Astyanax mexicanus: one gene and its partner. The protein of the gene in region 1 interacts with the protein of each later gene in a pairwise test. Links are inferred from orthologs where the notes say so. Each region holds a gene or a part of one and is shown in the gene's direction. Other genes may lie near its edges.

What was found.
Region 2: the proteins of klhl41b (region 1) and nebulin-related-anchoring protein interact in binary tests that used the Homo sapiens proteins (3 or more experiments, as listed by UniProt). The link is inferred for Astyanax mexicanus from reciprocal best matches to the Homo sapiens genes KLHL41 and NRAP.

What each region holds. Positions count from the first base shown.
Region 1 is NC_064412.1:53,826,755-53,836,275, reverse strand, and holds the start of klhl41b (kelch-like protein 41b), read left to right. Parts: upstream 1-5,591; 5' UTR 5,592-5,718; coding exon 5,719-6,837; intron 6,838-7,910; coding exon 7,911-8,068; intron 8,069-8,488; coding exon 8,489-8,596; intron 8,597-9,495; coding exon 9,496-9,521. Other genes in the region: col28a2b (collagen alpha-1(XXVIII) chain), read left to right, coding at 1-226, 950-1,141, 1,788-1,795. UniProt on the Homo sapiens protein: Involved in skeletal muscle development and differentiation. Regulates proliferation and differentiation of myoblasts and plays a role in myofibril assembly by promoting lateral fusion of adjacent thin fibrils into mature, wide myofibrils.
Region 2 is NC_064422.1:32,367,955-32,376,616, reverse strand, and holds the start of nebulin-related-anchoring protein, read left to right. Parts: upstream 1-4,816; 5' UTR 4,817-4,992; coding exon 4,993-5,064; intron 5,065-5,406; coding exon 5,407-5,501; intron 5,502-5,722; coding exon 5,723-5,810; intron 5,811-7,901; coding exon 7,902-8,006; intron 8,007-8,106; coding exon 8,107-8,211; intron 8,212-8,316; coding exon 8,317-8,421; intron 8,422-8,662. UniProt on the Homo sapiens protein: May be involved in anchoring the terminal actin filaments in the myofibril to the membrane and in transmitting tension from the myofibrils to the extracellular matrix.

The sequences.
Region 1 (9,521 bases):
GGGCCAGACACCACACACACATACACACGCACCACTCCAGAGCGCAGTGGCAGTGTAGAGATCCTACCAGACAACAGAACATCTTCACACAGCAGACCATCTTCAGCAGGATCCACATCATCATCATCCTCATCATCATCTTCATCATCATCATCATCATCAACTGTGATAACATCCTCTGGTTCAGTGCAGTACATCCCTGCCCCTCGACCACCTCTACCAAAAGGTAAGTACCAACATATACAGACATATTTTAACACACTTTACTCCCTTACGTGCTTCAGTTTTGATTATGTTGTCAGTAGGAAGGTTCTGACACCTGAGTCAGTTGAGTTATTATGATTTATAATTTATTTTAATTATTAAGGGCCAGTATTAAGATTATCAAGCACTAACTTTTTATAAGAATATTTTTTCTAACCTAAAACACATCACTCTAGATCCTACTACTCCCCATTTGTAAAGTCAGATTTACAAGTCATATTAAAGTATTAAAGTTTACTATTAAAGCTGTAAGAGCAACATTTAACACAGAACATGCAAGCTTTCTGGAGAACCTGAAATATTCTGAAATATTCAAATTAAATAATGTAGCAAAATGTTCATATATAAAAAAAATTACATATTTAAAATTAAAATGTATATATCATTATGCAGTACTTTTTTTTCCTGATGTCCCATGTTGTCATTAAATGCAATATCTCAGCATGCTACACATAAAGAAGTAAGAACTAGTGTGACACTATGTCATTTATAGCACATGATATTTATGTAACAGACAAAGGCATTGGACTTGGCTGGTCTCTACAACAATTTTTGAGTCCATCTCACCCTGAGACCGAAATGAGACAGAGATGACAGTCTTTAGACTGGTCTTCAAGCCAAGACCAGACTCTAAGTACTACAACACCAGTAATAACATATCATATTGTGTCTCCTCTCTGGTCAGAAATCGTACCCCTGGACCCTCGCTGTGAGCTGACCCTAGACCAGGGTCCATGCCGTGAATATAATATCCGCTGGTATTACGACAAGCAGGCCAACGCCTGCGCCCAGTTCTGGTACGGAGGCTGTGATGGAAACCGGAACCGCTTTGATACAGAGGAAGAGTGTAAAAAGACCTGTGTGGTCTCACAAGCAGGTAATTACTCGCATTTAAACATACAGTCACAATTTTACCCTTAATCTTAAAAAAGTACACCATATAGTTGAATAAATGTCAGCATGCACGCACATCATAATCAAATTACTGAGTAATCCAATCATTGGGTTTACCTAAATTTGGTCAATGATTGGATTTTTGCTTTGTAACCAGCCAATAACTTCACAGAATAAGACACAACATAAAAATCATGTAAAAACTCAAAATTCACACTGAAATTTTATCACATCAAGCTTTAATATGAACATCATTTCAGTGTCACTCTATTTGTGGTACCATGCTCTTTTCTTTTACATGTGCAAATACTGATTATAATATTCACTCTGGTTCAGAGTGTACATGAAGTGAAAAAACACAATTACTGAACAGAATTTCAGCTCTCTTTATCTTATTTGTAATCTATTTATTTTTGTTATCCAGTTTTATAGAAACATTTGCAAAAAAAAAAGTGAACAGACATTGTTTTACTGTCCTTTTTTAATTCCCATCCAGGCTCTCCATATTTAATTTTTTTAATCGGATTTTTGTTTAACGAAAACTGCACCAATCTTACTTACTTGATGTAACTGGTTATCATCAGCATCTACAAATATACTGTATAATTCTCCCTGGTTTGTTCTCACAGGAGGATGATGAACACAGAAGATCTTTGTGATAGAAGATTGACTGTTGTTGGATTAGTATCTGTAATACCTCAACGATCGAGCTCACTGAGAAATGTGCACATAATTGCTGAAATACTGTATGTTGAGTATTTCATTGTACTGCATCAGTGACTTGCTGTGTAAATACTTAATTTTCTTTATTAGCCAATTTCAATTCAAGTATATTTTAGCTCCAGTTGTATTTGTTTTCCTGTTCCTATTCATTTCTAGTCCTTTTTTAGTGATGTATTCCACAACCCACTTGAAACAGTGAGACAGTGAATGTCAGAAGAGTTATTAAAAACCTGCTTCTTATTTGGGAATTGTTTAATTTATGGGGACAATGGTGTCCTTCATTGTCTTTATAATTGTGTCCTAATAGAAAGCAGCAAAAGCCTAATTTAAGAGCACAGAGTCAAGTGAAGGGTTCATCCTCACATATTCAATCCGCCCAGATCTCAGATGCTATGGATTGACTTGAAGAGAGATGTACTTCTAAAGCATCCAAGGGATATGAGAGAGCTAAAGCAGTTCTGCAGGAATAATGGGCAAAAATTTAACGAAGTGCAGATCTGATCCACAGCTACAGAAAGTGCCTGGTTGAGGTTATTCCTGCAATTTTTCCACCACCACTTTTAGTGTTGAATGAGTCATCAAAGACCTGCAACATCATATATATATATATATATATATATATATATATATATATATATATATATATATATATATATATATATATATATATATTATTTTATTTTAGCACATTATATCTGTCAATATCCTTAACTTGAATGATCAGTCCACATTTTATGAAAAATGTATGCATAAACACATGAAACTGCAAAGGATTCACATACATATTTTACTTTCCACTGTATATGGTTGGATATCCCCCCAATCTGCTTATTTTCAGAGCTTGAGCCCTCCCCGCACCAACCCTCTGACTCTTTAATGCAGTTAAATTAGTTTTACACATCAGAAACATCATATTTCCATATTATGTCCTCATTTGGAGATACTGCTGTATGCAATATTAGACTTAACTTTTGTACTGATCCAACCCTACAGTGCCTCTGTGTTTAGAACCAGGCCACTGACGAAGGGCTAAAGGACTAGTGCAATCCATCAACAGATAGGTTTGCTACAGTCTCTAAATGTACATCAGGATATAAACTGAACACTGATTGTTTGACGGGTGCATTATGTATTTAAGGCCATTACCTGATTTGTTGTGAACAGTTGCTATTGTATAATGAACACTGTCAATACTGCAATTTTATGTTTTTGATGTTAGGACATCCTTTGATATTTCTTTATAGGTTTTGTATCATTTTGTGTGTTGTAATCCAAGTTTAATATAGCATACTTTTTTATAAAATAAAAAATGTTACTGAAAAATTATGTTTTACCTTTTTGAACATTCTCAGCACAATGTAAAATAATTTGTCTGATGGCAGTTTAACTGAATATGCAGAATACCGCATGCCTGCCCATAATTAGGCACATGCTGCTGTTTTATGTTAGGTTTATCGGGTTAATTAGAGTTTAAGCACCAAAATAGTTTTTTTATATGACTGAAAATGGTTATTCTATGCCATCACTCTTTATTTTAAAAGAATGTATCTTGGGGTAGCGTAGGACAAGAACATTTAATAGCAACTCTAAATCAAAACGTTTGGACAGTATGATTTTTTTTCCCCCACTATAACGGTTAGTTGAGCCAGTTGGGTTATTTTGCCTGGTCATTTACATAGTGCTGGGCATAATCAAAAATTGGATAAAGTTGGGACAGTAGGTAAAATGCAAATAAACAAAATAAATGCAGTGTTTCTTGCATGTGGTTTGGATTTAATTTTTATCAATTCATAAAAATGCATATCAAAAGGTGATTGTAATCACGATTTGGTCAATAATGAGCAGATAAATTAGTAAAAATAACACAAACTCATACTGTTAAACAAGTGGTATATGATTCTCTGTTACAATTTTTTTTTATGTTTTGCAGGCCTAAAACACATATGCATTTGACATTGTATCCAGCATGCTGGAAATAACAGAGCAAAATAAACCAACAGGCTCAAACCAGCATTAGAGTAGGAAAAAAATAACCCAAAAGCTTTGTTCAGCTGTTGTAACTATTCATTTTGGTCAACAACAGCTTACTAAGCCAAGCTCACTGATTCACATGGTCAGTTTTTTACTGCGTCATCTGCTGTGTGCTGGCTAACAGACGACGCTCACTCACTTACTCTTACACTCCCCTATTGGCATCATTCTCTCTGTGATTGGGGGGGTGAGGTGGGTTGTGTGTGTGAGACAGAGTACCCCCCTCTGTCTTTCGCGCTTTTGACTTAAGTTACATATAACTACCACACACACACACACACACACACACACACACAGGCCTGTTTTAATTATAGTACTATCTCCAACACAACACACGACCCTCTCACTCTAAACTGTTTTCCATGAAATCATAAGATCAGATTCAAAATAAGACTGGAATCCGGCTTCTAAACCAGATTTGTGATTATTATAGTCTATATCAATCAAAGTTTATGATTTGGAAAGAAATATTTTAAATATTTGAGTGTCCTGTAAACTTTGAATATATTTGTGCCATAATTACAGTTCCTATAGATATGTAACATGAAGCATAGAAGCAAAGAACAATAATGAGGTTCCAGTGACTCTAAAACGCTTGATCAAGAGTGTGTGCATGTGTGTGTGTGTGTGGAGGGGGTGGGGAGGGTGGGGTTGGGTGCTGTCACCTGTTGTAGCAGCTGCTTCCCATCACTGTCACTCTGATCTTAGATGTGCTACCATTCACACAAACACACACACACACACAAATGTACAAGTAAAATACATACCACCGAACAAAACATTATACATCTTTACAATGCAACTTCAGAAATGTTATCATGTGAACTTTTACAGAAGTACAAATAGGTTTTATAGATTTAGATAAAATTTTATAGATTATAGACACATTCAGTGTCATATCATTGTAATTGTGATAAGTATGATTCAGCTCATTAAAGCATAAATGAAGAAGAAATTGGAGGCAAAGTTAGATTACCAAGATGAATATTTTTTGATCCTCTATTTTTCTATTGATTTTTTATTTATTTATTCTGTTATTTCTGTTTATATTCTGTTTTTATTCTCTTTTACTTAACATAGTCCATCCATGCTGCTGTTTGCCATGTTTGTGCCATTCAAATTAATGGGGAAAAAATTAGGAATGTATACTGAACGTGTGTGTTATTGATTATGTAAATTGTTAGAGCACATAAAAATACAATATTTACAGCAAATTTAACTTCTCAGAACCTCTAGTTTTTTTCTGCTGCTGGAACAGCTCACTCAATTTATATCGCCAAATTAAAGTTAACAGTTCTTTGCCAAAATAAAATGGAAAATGTTTAACGGAAAATTTATAATACCTGTATTAGGTAGTGCCTTGCGGAACTTAAAAAGGTTAAAATATTGTTATAATTAAAAGACTCCTGATTAATAAATTATTTAGTAGAATTTGTAATTTAATGTATTTCATTATGTGTTAATATTAAAATATTACACAAAAACAGTGAAACACAGTTTTAAACTTAAGGGTTAAATCCTGGTTAGGCCTCTGCAGCCTGTTTTACTGTGACAACTGCTGTCATTGCACTCCCCCTACTCACAGACGGACAGGGGGAACAGGGGGAGCTGCAGAGGGGAGGAGGGTCCAGCCCAGGTTAAATTTAGAAAGCCCAGATTAAATAACAGCTTTTTCAAGCTGCAGATCTTTTTGGTGGTCTGTCCTTTTCCAGCCAGGACTGTGTGGCAAGCAGAAGCCACCCTCTCTCCTCTCTTTCTTCCTCCTTTCTTCTTTGTCCTCCACCACTTACCCTCCTATCCACTGCCATGGATCCCAAAGCACTGAAGGAAGAACTGCGGCTGTTCCAAAGCACGCTGCTGCAGGACGGCCTGAAGGAGCTGCTGAACGAGAACAAGTTTGTGGACTGCACTCTGAAAGTGGGTGACCGCTGCTTTCCATGCCATCGCCTCATTCTGGCCGCATGCAGCCCCTACTTCAGAGAGATCTTCTTCTCTGAAGATGGAAAGATCAAAGAAGACCTCAAAGAGGTCGCCGTGGATGACGTTGACCCCAATGTTCTGGACATGATCATTAAATACCTCTACTCTGCTGAAATCGAGCTGACCGATGACAATGTTCAGGAGATATTCGCAGTCGCTAACCGCTTCCAGATTCCCTCTGTGTTCACGGTTTGTGTGAACTATCTGCAGAAGAAGTTGTCCATGGTCAACTGCCTGGCCATCTTCAGGCTCGGCCTGATCCTCAACGTGCCCAGGCTAGCCGTATCTGCCCGCGATTTTATTGCGGATCGCTTCGAAAGCCTGATGGACGAAGAGGAATTCCTGCAGCTGGCGCCTCATGAACTCTTTGCCCTCATTGGTGGAGACATGCTGAACGTGGAGAAGGAGGAAGTGGTGTTCGAGTCGCTAATGAAGTGGGTGCGAAGCGACAAGGAGAAGCGTGTCAAGTCTCTGGGTGAAGCCTTCGAATTCATCCGCTTCCGCCTCTTACCGGAAAAGTACTTCCAAGAGAAAGTAGAAAACGATGACATCATTAAGGCCGATCCAGAACTCCTGAAGAAACTGCAGGTCATCAAAGATGCCTTCAAAGGGAAACTTCCCGAGATGAAAAAGAAGGAGAAGAAGGAAGGAGAGGTGAATGGAGAAGAAGGAGGAGAGGAGGAAGAAGAAGAGATGTTGCCAGGTTTCCTGAACGACAACCGCAGGCTAGGGATGTATGGGCGTAATTTAATCCTCATGATTAATGACACAGCGGCGGTGGCGTATGACGTGGTAGAAAACGAATGCTTCCTGGCGGCCATGGCCGAACAAGTGCCCAAGAACCACATCAGCCACTGCTCCAAGAGGAACGAGCTGTTTGTCATTGGTGGTCTGTTCGTTGACGAAGACAACAAAGAAGCACCACTCCAGTGCTACTTCTACCAGGTAGGTCATAATATTTTAACTCACAGACAAAAGAGTGACAATTGTGGAAATTTCCTTGCATTTCTATGCAAAAATTACCTTGTACAACGACACAAATAGTACCACATTTCCCCATAGATGTTTTCTTGCTGATTTATCTCAAAATGTATTGTTGATCATTCAAAAACCTCTGTTGAGTTGGATTTTGTACAGTGTAAAAACATTTCATTTGTTTACTTTTGTGCAAATTGCTGTATGTGTAGAGAATACAGTGTTTTAAAGGATCAGGGAGTTAAATAGTCAAATATTTCCCAGGTCCAGAAGGTCTGGTGTCATGGTGTGGGGTGCAACTTATGGCCCTATGACTTTGGCGCACTAATCCATTAAGACAATGCTCGTCCAACTGCTGCAGACTCAAGAGTATGCCACATTGCCAGACATAGCTCTGAATGAAAAGAGGTGGGATACCAAATATTCAAAGCTCTATTGGATGGATTACCACAGAACACCATTAGGAACCTCTACAACTCCAAACCCAGATGTCTGCCATCTTGTGATACACATGCATACACTACTTATATATGTGTAGCTCAATATATATGACAAAGTGTTTCCGAAATCAGTAAAAAAAAGCATTGCAATTTGGCACTTCTTTCTATGTGCAACTATTCTATGTGTATTTTTGCAACCATTTGGATAACTATAGATAACTGGCACTGAAAATAAAGTGAAATCACTAGCGTTACTTCATAGCAGTTTCCTAAGATGCGGCGCTGTGTTATCTAAAGAAACACAAAGATCAGATTGGTATTGGCTGACAATCAGCACAAAAATACTTGGATTTGATCAGGACGTCAGGTTAAGTAAATAATAACATACTCAGTTTGCAAAGTGAGTCAACCAACTGCATGAAGAACAGAAATCTAAAAGTCAGTTTGGCTTATAAAAATTATCATCTGTGAGACCGCAAAACTATCATGACCAATTTTGTCTAATTCATAAATTCTGTTATTCAACAGAACAATTCTAAAAAAATGTTTTAACTGTATTATTGATATTAAAACACTGACTAATCAGTTGTGATTTTATTTCAGTTGGACAGTCTTACATCTGATTGGGTAGCACTGCCACCCATGCCAAGCCCAAGATGCCTCTTTGGTTTGGGTGAATATAATGGTCTGCTGTTCGCTATCGCTGGTAAAGACCTGCAGACCAACGAGTCCCTGGATTCTGTAATGTGTTACGATACTGAGTGAGTAACGTCAATCTGTCATTCTCCTATCATTCTCTTATTGTGTCTTTCAGTTAGAAATGTATACTATCCCAAAGTATTTAGATATCTGCTCTTCTGAAATCAATGGGGATAAAAATGAGCCTATTCTACTTGTGTTGTGAATTTGCAACTTTAAAAGTAGCCGAATGCATTCATAATAGGGGTGTCCACAAGCATTTGGACAAGCAAATGGAATGCAGAGTACTAAACACATTGACATGTAGTCATGTTGTAGTTTGTTTAATAATGTTGCCAAAACTAGTTATTAATTAAAACTATATTAATTCAGCTGTGAATAAGCTGTGGTTTATTTTAGTGTTTTTCCCATTTATATTCTTTTTCATCATTCTTTTGTCTACTTCTGCTTAATGGAAATTTTATCATATGTCATTTTTACAGGAAGATGAAATGGAGCGAGACAAAGAAACTTCCACTCCGCATCCACGGCCATTCAGTAGTCTCACATAATGGCCTGATTTATTGCATTGGAGGCAAGACAGATGATAAGTAAGTGTGTGTATGTGTTTGTGTGTTCTTTGGAGGGTTGGTAACCTAAGTCTTACTACCATGTTATAGACCAGTAGTTTCTAACCCTGGTCCCAAAGGACCCCTCGCCCCCATATGTTTGTGTTTAACCTGCTTCCATACACCTTGAATTCTGAGATTAAGGTGGTGTGTCCAGCAGGAAACCAATAAAACTCCTCCAGGACTAGGATTGGGAACCACTGGTATAGACGGTCCTTGTTAGTTCTCTATAGGTATTTTCAGTAGTAAATATATTACTATTGCTGTGGTAATAATATTGGTAATAATTAAAAACAGAAAAAAACAGTTGGCTTAGTTGTTTGAGGCCCTATGGAAAATAATTCATGTTTTGTTTATTTGTCAATGCTATTGGTTACACACTTCTATATTTTTTTTCTAAAAAAAAAAGAAATGTTGCAATAAAATGTTCATTTTTTTGCTTAATCAAATATAATCATGTGAAATTTCTTGAATGCTCAAATTGTCTCATGAGCTTTCTTTGTGAAAGATCATTGTGAAAAAAACTCATACAAAAAGATGGCCTCTTAGTAATATTGATATAACTAGGTTTCTACTTTATGAATTTTATGAAAAACAAATCTTTTTACATGAGCTTCTATTGAAAGTCAAGTTCTTTCCTTCTTCTGTTGCCACCTTAAATAGAAAGCTTTTGAGTGACCATCACTATGTTAAATAGTAATGATACTGTATTATATACAGTAAAACCTTAAATTTGAGTTTTTATTGTTATTTAGAAAATTCATAAAATAAACCACTCAACAAAGGGTATTCACATTACTGCATACAATTGTATATGTTTAATCGAGATGTTAATGTTATGAATTCTATTGAACTGTAAAATCTCTCTTTCTGTCTCTCAGTAAAGCTTTAAACAAGATGTTTGTGT
Region 2 (8,662 bases), on another chromosome or scaffold:
TATTCCAGAGTTTTTCAGTTTCAGTAAAATTGAAGAAACTCATCATTTTAAGTGGTCTCTTTTTTTCCAGAGGTGTAGTTAGCCTACTAACTAGTTAGTTAGCCACCTAGCTACTGTTGGCGGTTAACCATTTCCTGCAACTATAAAAACTCGCCAATTCAGTACGTTATACTGGTAAATATGAACACAAGGAGACAGCTGAATATATATAACGTTAGCTATTTAACTCGTAAACGGATCGATTTAAGATAGCAAATTGGACATATACTGAACAGGGGATGATGTTAGGTGCTGTATAGTAGCTTTTAAAAACATATTAGCGCTTTCTAAAAGGAAATGTAGAAAGTATAACCTGTGCTAAGCTAAACTTAAGCTAACATAGCTAACTCATCTTTTCCTGCCCACTACAACTCAGCAGCAGCAGCTGCAGTCACCGCCTACAGACACCCAGACTAACACAAACCCTCCTCAGAAGGAATAATACTCACTAAAATCACGTAAAGTTGGCTACCTAGTTAAATTATGTAGTTATACGGCAGTTCTGAGCAGCTCCAGTCCAAACGGTCGCACAGCTCCGCGAAAGGAAAAAGAAACAGAGAGAAGTGAAAAAGAAACTTTCCTGTGAGTAAACTGCCCTGTGTACAGTAGGCATACCAGCTTATCATTTAAAGAGACAGGCACCGTCTTCAGATAATGGGCTGCCCCAGGTCCAAGACGAATTTCCTCATTTGTAGGCTTTATAAATTCTAGTCAGTAACAGCGTTTTACAGGATAATCTCAAGGTATGTGTCAATAAACCAAAGCTTAACCATAACCCCTAAGTAATACAGCAAACCGACAGCCTTAACCCTCTTTGGTATGATGCTATCATCATCCAACAAACCAAACTTTTGTTTTTTACTAGTGCTGCAATGATTGTGATTGTGTTTTTTTCGATTAGTCGATTAGTCAGCGATTATTTTGTGATGTCTCTAAAAACGATAGAAATAACTGAACATGAGGCTTAAAGTGGCTTTAAATGTCTATATATTGTTTAAAACGTGGTGATAATTCATGAATAAATATGCAGGGCTCCAGACAAAAAAAAAATTAAGGAGCCAGTGACTCCTAAAATAAATAATTTGGGCGCCAATATTTTTTTCCAAGTGCCAAACAATAATGCTGAGTCTTTACTGCAGAAGGTGTGCTTATGGTACACTCCAACTCCACACCAATTGCTTTCAGCTTAGGCTTGCTTTTGGGGCTAATTGGAAGGGATTTTTGAGTGTTCAGGATTGCCAGTTCCAGTCTTTGAGGCAAACATGAAATGAGAGAATATGTTTTCCTATCTCACTTCTAAAGAGTGGCCCTTGTTCTGTCGAGTGTATATTTAACGATAAAAACTCAAAAGAAGCTCAATGTTAGAGCATGTTTGCAGTAGAAGTCCCCAGTAGATGTAGTGTTAGTATATTTTTATAACATAAATCACTGTATCATGGTAAATTTAAGGCAATGAGAGTTCATTACAAACTGCTTTTTTGTATTTAAATTATAATTAATAAATTATTGTATTTATTATTATTATTATTAATTTGTATTTACACTCTTGTGCAATGTGAGTCCAGGTTGTTTTATGCACAAAAAATAGATTTGTCATAAAAAACACGAGACATTATCAAAACGTGTAGGTTTGCACTTGCGCAGTGCCTTTAGGAAGCACGTATTGATGGGTAGCATAACTTGACAAAACACCGGTACACCGGTAGACCACCAGAAACGTGTCTTCAATAAGCGATTACGTAAAACTGCCGGGCACATCAGTCCCACAGTCAGTGATATACTTAACTTTCTGGGCTTCTGTCACGATCTTTGACGAGCTTTGACGTTGTCTGCTATAACGTTACATCCTACAAACTCGGCACAAGCTGAGTCATTATCATACGTTTTCGACACATACAGGCCATTTTTTTCTTATTAACAAGACGGGGTAGTTTCTCACGTGCATGTAGGCTCTATTAAATTTAATTTTTCAGTTTTATCACATGTGCGAGCTAAGGGAGGTTTTGTCGGAGCACACTAAAAAACAGTCGCGTGCATTTTTATGCTTTCGACTCTCTCCGTGTTTTTTCTTTTTTTTTTAAACGATGCGTTCCTGGTACAAAATACGTGTTTCCAGCGATATCTTTGCTTACTTTCGAACTGAATTCGCAGTACATTGCGGCCAAGAAGTTTTGAAATGTCTGTGGTTGTACTTTTCTTTATGGAAGCCCATTTCCGCCACCTGAAGAAAAAAAAACGTCCTCAACTAAGTCATAATTATGAGATAGAAAAGTAATAATTATGGGATAGTAAGTCATATTTATGAGATAAAAAGTCATAATTATGAGATAGTAAGTCATAATTATGAGATAGTAAGTCATAATTATGAAATAAAAAAGTCATAATTATGAGATAGAAAGTCATAATTATGAGATAGAAAGTCATAGTTATGAGATGACTTTTTATCTCATAAATATGACTTACTATCTCATAATTATGACTTTTTATCTCATAATTATGACTTACTATCTCATAATTATGACTTACTATCTCATAATTATGACTTACTATCCCATAATTATGACTTTTCTATCTCATAATTATGACTTACTATCTCATAATTATGACTTTTTTATCTCATAAATATGACTTACTATCTCATAATTATGACTTTTTTATCTCATAATTATGACTTACTATCTCATAATTATGACTTACTATCCCATAATTATGACTTTTCTATCTCATAATTATGACTTTTTTTATCTCATAATTATGACTTATTATCTCATAATTATGACTTACTATCTCATAATTATGACTTACTATCTCATAATTATGACTTACTATCCCATAATTATGACTTTTCTATCTCATAATTATGACTTAGTTGAGGACGTTTTTTTTTCTTCAGGTGGCGGAAATGGGCTTCCATATTTCTTGGATGTTCATCTTCGTCTGCATTTTCCAGTGCAAACTGCGGGCCAATGGATAAAAGCTCAGCTTAGCTACGCTGCTGTGGTAGTTACGTCTGAGGTAAAGCAAGGCTTTTTTTTTGAGGTAGGCAAAAACGTCCATATGATTGGGCGCCGTAGTATAGTTACATCGATAAACACAACCAAAAAAAAGCAAAAAATAAATAAATAAATAAATAAACGCAAAAAACCCTACTTTGCCACCTGTCGCCACTGGCGACTTAATTAATTTTATAAATCGCAAAAAAATATTTTTGGTCGCATTTGCGACCATTTTAGTCCTGATATGTAATCTGTTGAGTTTAGGCACTATTGGAGACACAGGCTAAGTTGAGTGTAAACTGTGTGAGTGAGCCATTTACCCATGTCCTATTGTACTTCTGTCCCCAGCACTTTGTGTAATGCAGTACTGTTACAAATTAACTATTAATCTACAAGGAAATTTGTAGTCGACAAAGTTGAATAATCAACAGTTATATCGACTAATTGTTGCAGCCATAGTTATTTCATACCACAACTTAATTTTTTATGTATTTATTATTTTATAACATTTTATTAAATGTTACATAAAAAAATATATAACATGAATAAAAGGCATACCTATGACCAATGCAATGAGCCATACAAGTGGATCATAAAAAAAAAAAACATGGTCTGAAAAAAAGTTCAAAAGTCTCCCAAATAGTGCTGTGATTGTTTTCCCCAAAAAATACAATTCATGCCGTAAAGGTCTAAGCACACAAGTAAGTATAAAAAAAATTGAATGTCCAATTCGAAGTCCAGAACATATTTGTGGCACTCCTGCTTGATGATTAATAATTAATATTGTAGGTTATGTAGCTTATTAATCTCAAAAACTCATCCGTATTCAAATGTGCTTTAGCTGCCGTAAACCCAGCCTTATGATGTAGTAATCAATGTAGTATTACTGTAGTTCATTGAGTCATATTACATTAACTCTGTAAGGTCATAGATTATAGTGTGTTAAATAAAAGCGGACAGACACAGCAGAGTCTCAGTTTCATCCACTGTATTTTCATCTCTAAGGTTTTAATTAAGATTTAAATATACACAAATTAATGTACGTACGTATATTTGCAGCACTCCCTGTGGCAATATAGGGTTTGATTCACTGGTTTGCAAGCACATAACACTACAACAATTACAACATTTTTTACACCGCACACTTTCCAAATGTAAAAGTGTTTCAAACATTCACTGTTTGAGCCATTGGAATTTAAGTTCAGAGTACTAAACTATTTGAATAGCGGAATTGGCTTAATGTGTATCCTTATTATTGTGAATAAATGGGTAAAATTATGTTGTGTTGTGAAGAAAACCAAATATCGGCTTATATATCGGCCATTGCCCACTTGTGATCTCTAAATATTGGCAAGGGTTGTTCACTAAAATAAAATACCAATATCATTTTGCATCCCTACTTGTGAGTGGTAAATTAATTGTATAAATTTCTCTTTTCTTTCTCTTTTTCTTTCTCTTTGCTTTTGGACGGACTAAAAACGGCAACGATGACAGAGCATGGTCAAAGAAAGCATATAGGTAATGCCGCTATTACACATACACCTAGCAAGCACTAGGTCATTCCTCTATTTTTGTGTACATCTGGGGCATGTGGAGGCCGCTGTGACTAAGCTGCCCAAAAGATAACAATAAATTTAGTATTCAGTTACATACATCCAGTAGCATCTCGACCCCCTCTTAACTAACAGACAGCTGGGCAGGCTTTCAGCTGACTGACAGCAGCTAATAAGGGGTGGGACCTTGCATCCAGGTCATGTAATAGACAGAGCTGGCCTGTGAAAGACCAGAGCTAAGTTTAACACAGGTCAGAGAGTGAGACACAAGTGGGAACAGGGGACTAACTGGGACGCTTTGCCTTCCTGTTCTGTGGACTGTCCAAAGCTACTGATTTTTTAGAGAATTGGTATGCCGAGTTGGTTTTCTCTGTAGTGACGGATCCAGTGGGGAAAAACTAAACATGAATATTCAAAACTGTGCCAGGTGTGGGTTTGTGGTGTACCCAGCTGAGAAGATCAATCTCATTAGTCAGGTAAGATTGAGTGCATGTAACAATTGAGTATGCATATATTGTAATCCAAAGACATGATTAAAATAAAAACGTTTTTATTTAAGATTAAGTAAGTAAGTAAGTACATTGTAGTTAGTTAGACTGCTGTGCTTGTGTTTTATATGTGATGATGCTGGTTTAGACAAGCTAAAGATTTAGTTTGCTTAAGAAGAGTAAAAAAAAAACAGTATATATTATGGCCATACTAAATTTTTAACCATGTCTCTGTAAAATATTAAGTTATAATATCAAAACTTACTTCTAAAACATAGCTACATTGTTGGTGGTGATGCTTTCTCTGTCTGTATTCTCTCACATAAACAGAACTGGCACAAAGCATGCTTCCACTGTGAGGTCTGTAAGATGGTTCTAACTGCCAATAATTTTGTAAGCCATCAGAAGAGACCGTATTGTCAAGTGTGAGTACATGATGCCTATTCATTGCATTTTATGGAAAACTCTGTACTGGTAAATAGAAGCATTGGTTTTGCTGTTTCTCGGTTTTTACAAAGATGGGTCTGTCCCATCACTGTAAACAGTACAACCATGCTTTCTTTACTAGACACTGCCTCTAAACTACTGACCCCTTAAGTTTCTATAAGCTTTGCTTATAATCTGTGAATCTGTGGGTATTTCACAGACATAATCCACGGAACAACACCTTCACCAGCGTCTATGAAACTCCGGTCAACATCAATGCTAAGAAGCAGGCAGAGGCTGTCAGTGAGGTGAGCTTGTGATTATTTCACTGATGCTCCTGGCTGTGTTTTTCTTCTTACTGTGTCCTTTTTTTACACACATATGGTGTTCATATTGAAATAAAAAGGTAATTGTGCGTTTCATTACATCATGATTTATTCAGAGATGTATTCTAAACTGAATATATAATTAATAGATTAAAGAGTATAAAATGTAATAATCTAGCTGTTGATGATAGTAAGTCTTTTATATATTTATTTAATGTATATGGAATATGTTTTTATTATTGTAAAAAAAATCAGATCTTAAAAAAAGGAACTTGCTCTGAACTTTAGTGTTAGTATATTTTATTTCAAGTAATATTGGACCATTTCTGTTGGCCTAAATGTTTACCCATATCAAGGTTTGGTGTTTTTAAAGGTTCAAAAGAAAATGAATGTAAGATAATCAGTTATGAAGTTTGATATGACAGTAATAATATTTTATGGTGGTCTTAATCCTATATGATGCAGCAATAAATATTATTATTAGAAGAGTATAAGTAGTGTTTTATAGACTGTCTATATAATAGAATGAATGCACAAAAAATAATAATAAATGAAAGTTTGAAACATTCTTTTTTTATTTAAGGTAATTTATCTGTAAGCTTCTTCTTTATGAGAGGGTTGTAAAGCTGTTTTTAGGAGAACTCTGTAGCCCTCTGTGACTCTAGATGTTTGGAATGGGGTTTGAGTCTCTGAGCTATTTCTGTAGTGTGACAGAGACACGACACCCCTCTTGCTCTGCTTTATGCGCTTGGTGGTTAAATTTATGCTTTTGCTTCCTCGCTCACTCTTCTATATCTCTCTCTCTATCTCCCTCTCTCTCCCTCTTTCTGTCATGTTGGGAGAGCCACCTGCTCCTGTCTGTCAGTGTGCTTAAAAGTCTACATGCTCTCTGGGCTCTGCAGAGCTCCTGAACGTAGCCTATTAAAACTCCATCGTGCACATCTTTCCCCCACTTCCTGGAAAGACTTGTATGAACACAGATCATTTTCCAACTTGAAAAGATAGCACTGGCCACATGCTCTAAGTCGGCATTACTTTGTATATCTATCTTTATATGATAACTAGAATTTACTTCCCCAGTCAAGCCAGATTGGTGCTTTAGGGATATGTAATAATAGAGGTTGGCAAGTTTTAATCACTGCCACATTAGGATTATGTTGAGCCTTTAAAAATTAAGGTTCAGAAATGAAAATGAACTTTTACTTTAGTATGTGCTATGAATAATTCAGTAGTCGTGGCAACAGTATGTAATTACAGTATGTAGTTGTATGTAGTGAAAAAATAACTATAAACTCACATAAAAGCCATTTAAACTATATATTATGTATGTCTTAATATTCTGTATACTCCTCATGTCCTAAGGATCAGAATGACCCAAACACTGTTTATTTACCCAGGTGATGTTCAGCTATCATGATATAAACAAAGGCCATGTTTCTCATCAGAAATAGGTTTTGTTTAGACTTACTATCTAGGCATTTTTGTTTGCACAATAAATTGTTGCAATAAACTAAATTATTGTCATTTTAAGATTATACACCACTTGTATAGGCTAATGATAATATAATTATTTTTAATTATTAAAAACAAGCAATCCGAGATTGGAATTGAAATATAAACATTTAAAAATATCCTTAACAAATAAAAAGTAACTAAAGTAAAACAGTTTTTTTGGCTGTCTTTGCTAAAAAAAAACACAATTTGCAAGATCAAGGTCAACAAGAATGATGGCGGTCAGGTCCATCTATTTTTTGATAAATCATACATTTGATAACATAATTATCATGATTATCAAAGAAAATGTAGCACCAAAATGGTAACTTTACAAGAGTAGGCTAAAATGTTATTAAATTATCTTTTAGTTTAATGAAAATAGATTTTATTCCAAGTACTTTCAAACATTCCCGGTGGTCCACATCTCACAGAAGGTTTACACAATGTAAAGAACAGTTGCTCTGCTTAAAACAAGTAGAAATGTAGTACAGATACGTGTTTTAGATGGTACCAATGCAGGCCAACTCAATGTTTTGTGTCCTGAGCTGTGTTGAGTGTTAACACTGTGGTTCTTTTCAGATTAAATACAGAGAAGAGGGTGAGCGTTTCATGTCCACGTTCCACTATGACATGAGATCAAAGGAACTTGAGCAGGCCCGCAAGGCCAGCCAAATGACCAACCAGGTAAAATATCAGTTCACTTCTTTTCAGATCAGCTCTTCTAATGTTAAATCCAGGACTTCTGAATTGAAGGATCTCATCCATGCGCTGAAATGTCCCCCAGGCTTACCAGTCTTCAGGGTTTTCAGAGCAGCAGACATGGTACTCAGGCAGTGTAACCAGTCAGGAGATAGTTCGCATGAGTCAAGCACAGAAGACCATCAGCGATGTAAGTGATCTCACTCGAAGCTGTGTGTGAATACTGAAGTCAATGTGATGTCTGCAGTCCGTGGGAGACCAGTAAACTCATGCACCTCTGCTTACTGTGTCTTAGGTGGAGTACAAACGGGGCCATGATGAACGAGTTACACAGTTCACCTCTGTGACTGACACACCTGGAATCCTGCACGCTAAGAGTGGCACCTCACTGGCTAGTGATGTATAAACACTTTCTTCCACACTCCCACAACACTTAACATACAATTAATTTTATTAAAAATAAACATTTACATATATAATCAAAAGTACTGATTGCATACACTGACTAGCCAAAAGTCATGGGATGTCAGTATGTAAATTGATCATGAATGCTTTGTGAATGCCCACAGCTGTAAGGTTTTACACATTGGTTAATGGCCAAAGTTTAAGCAAGGCCTGATATGGGTGGCAGATGGATGGAA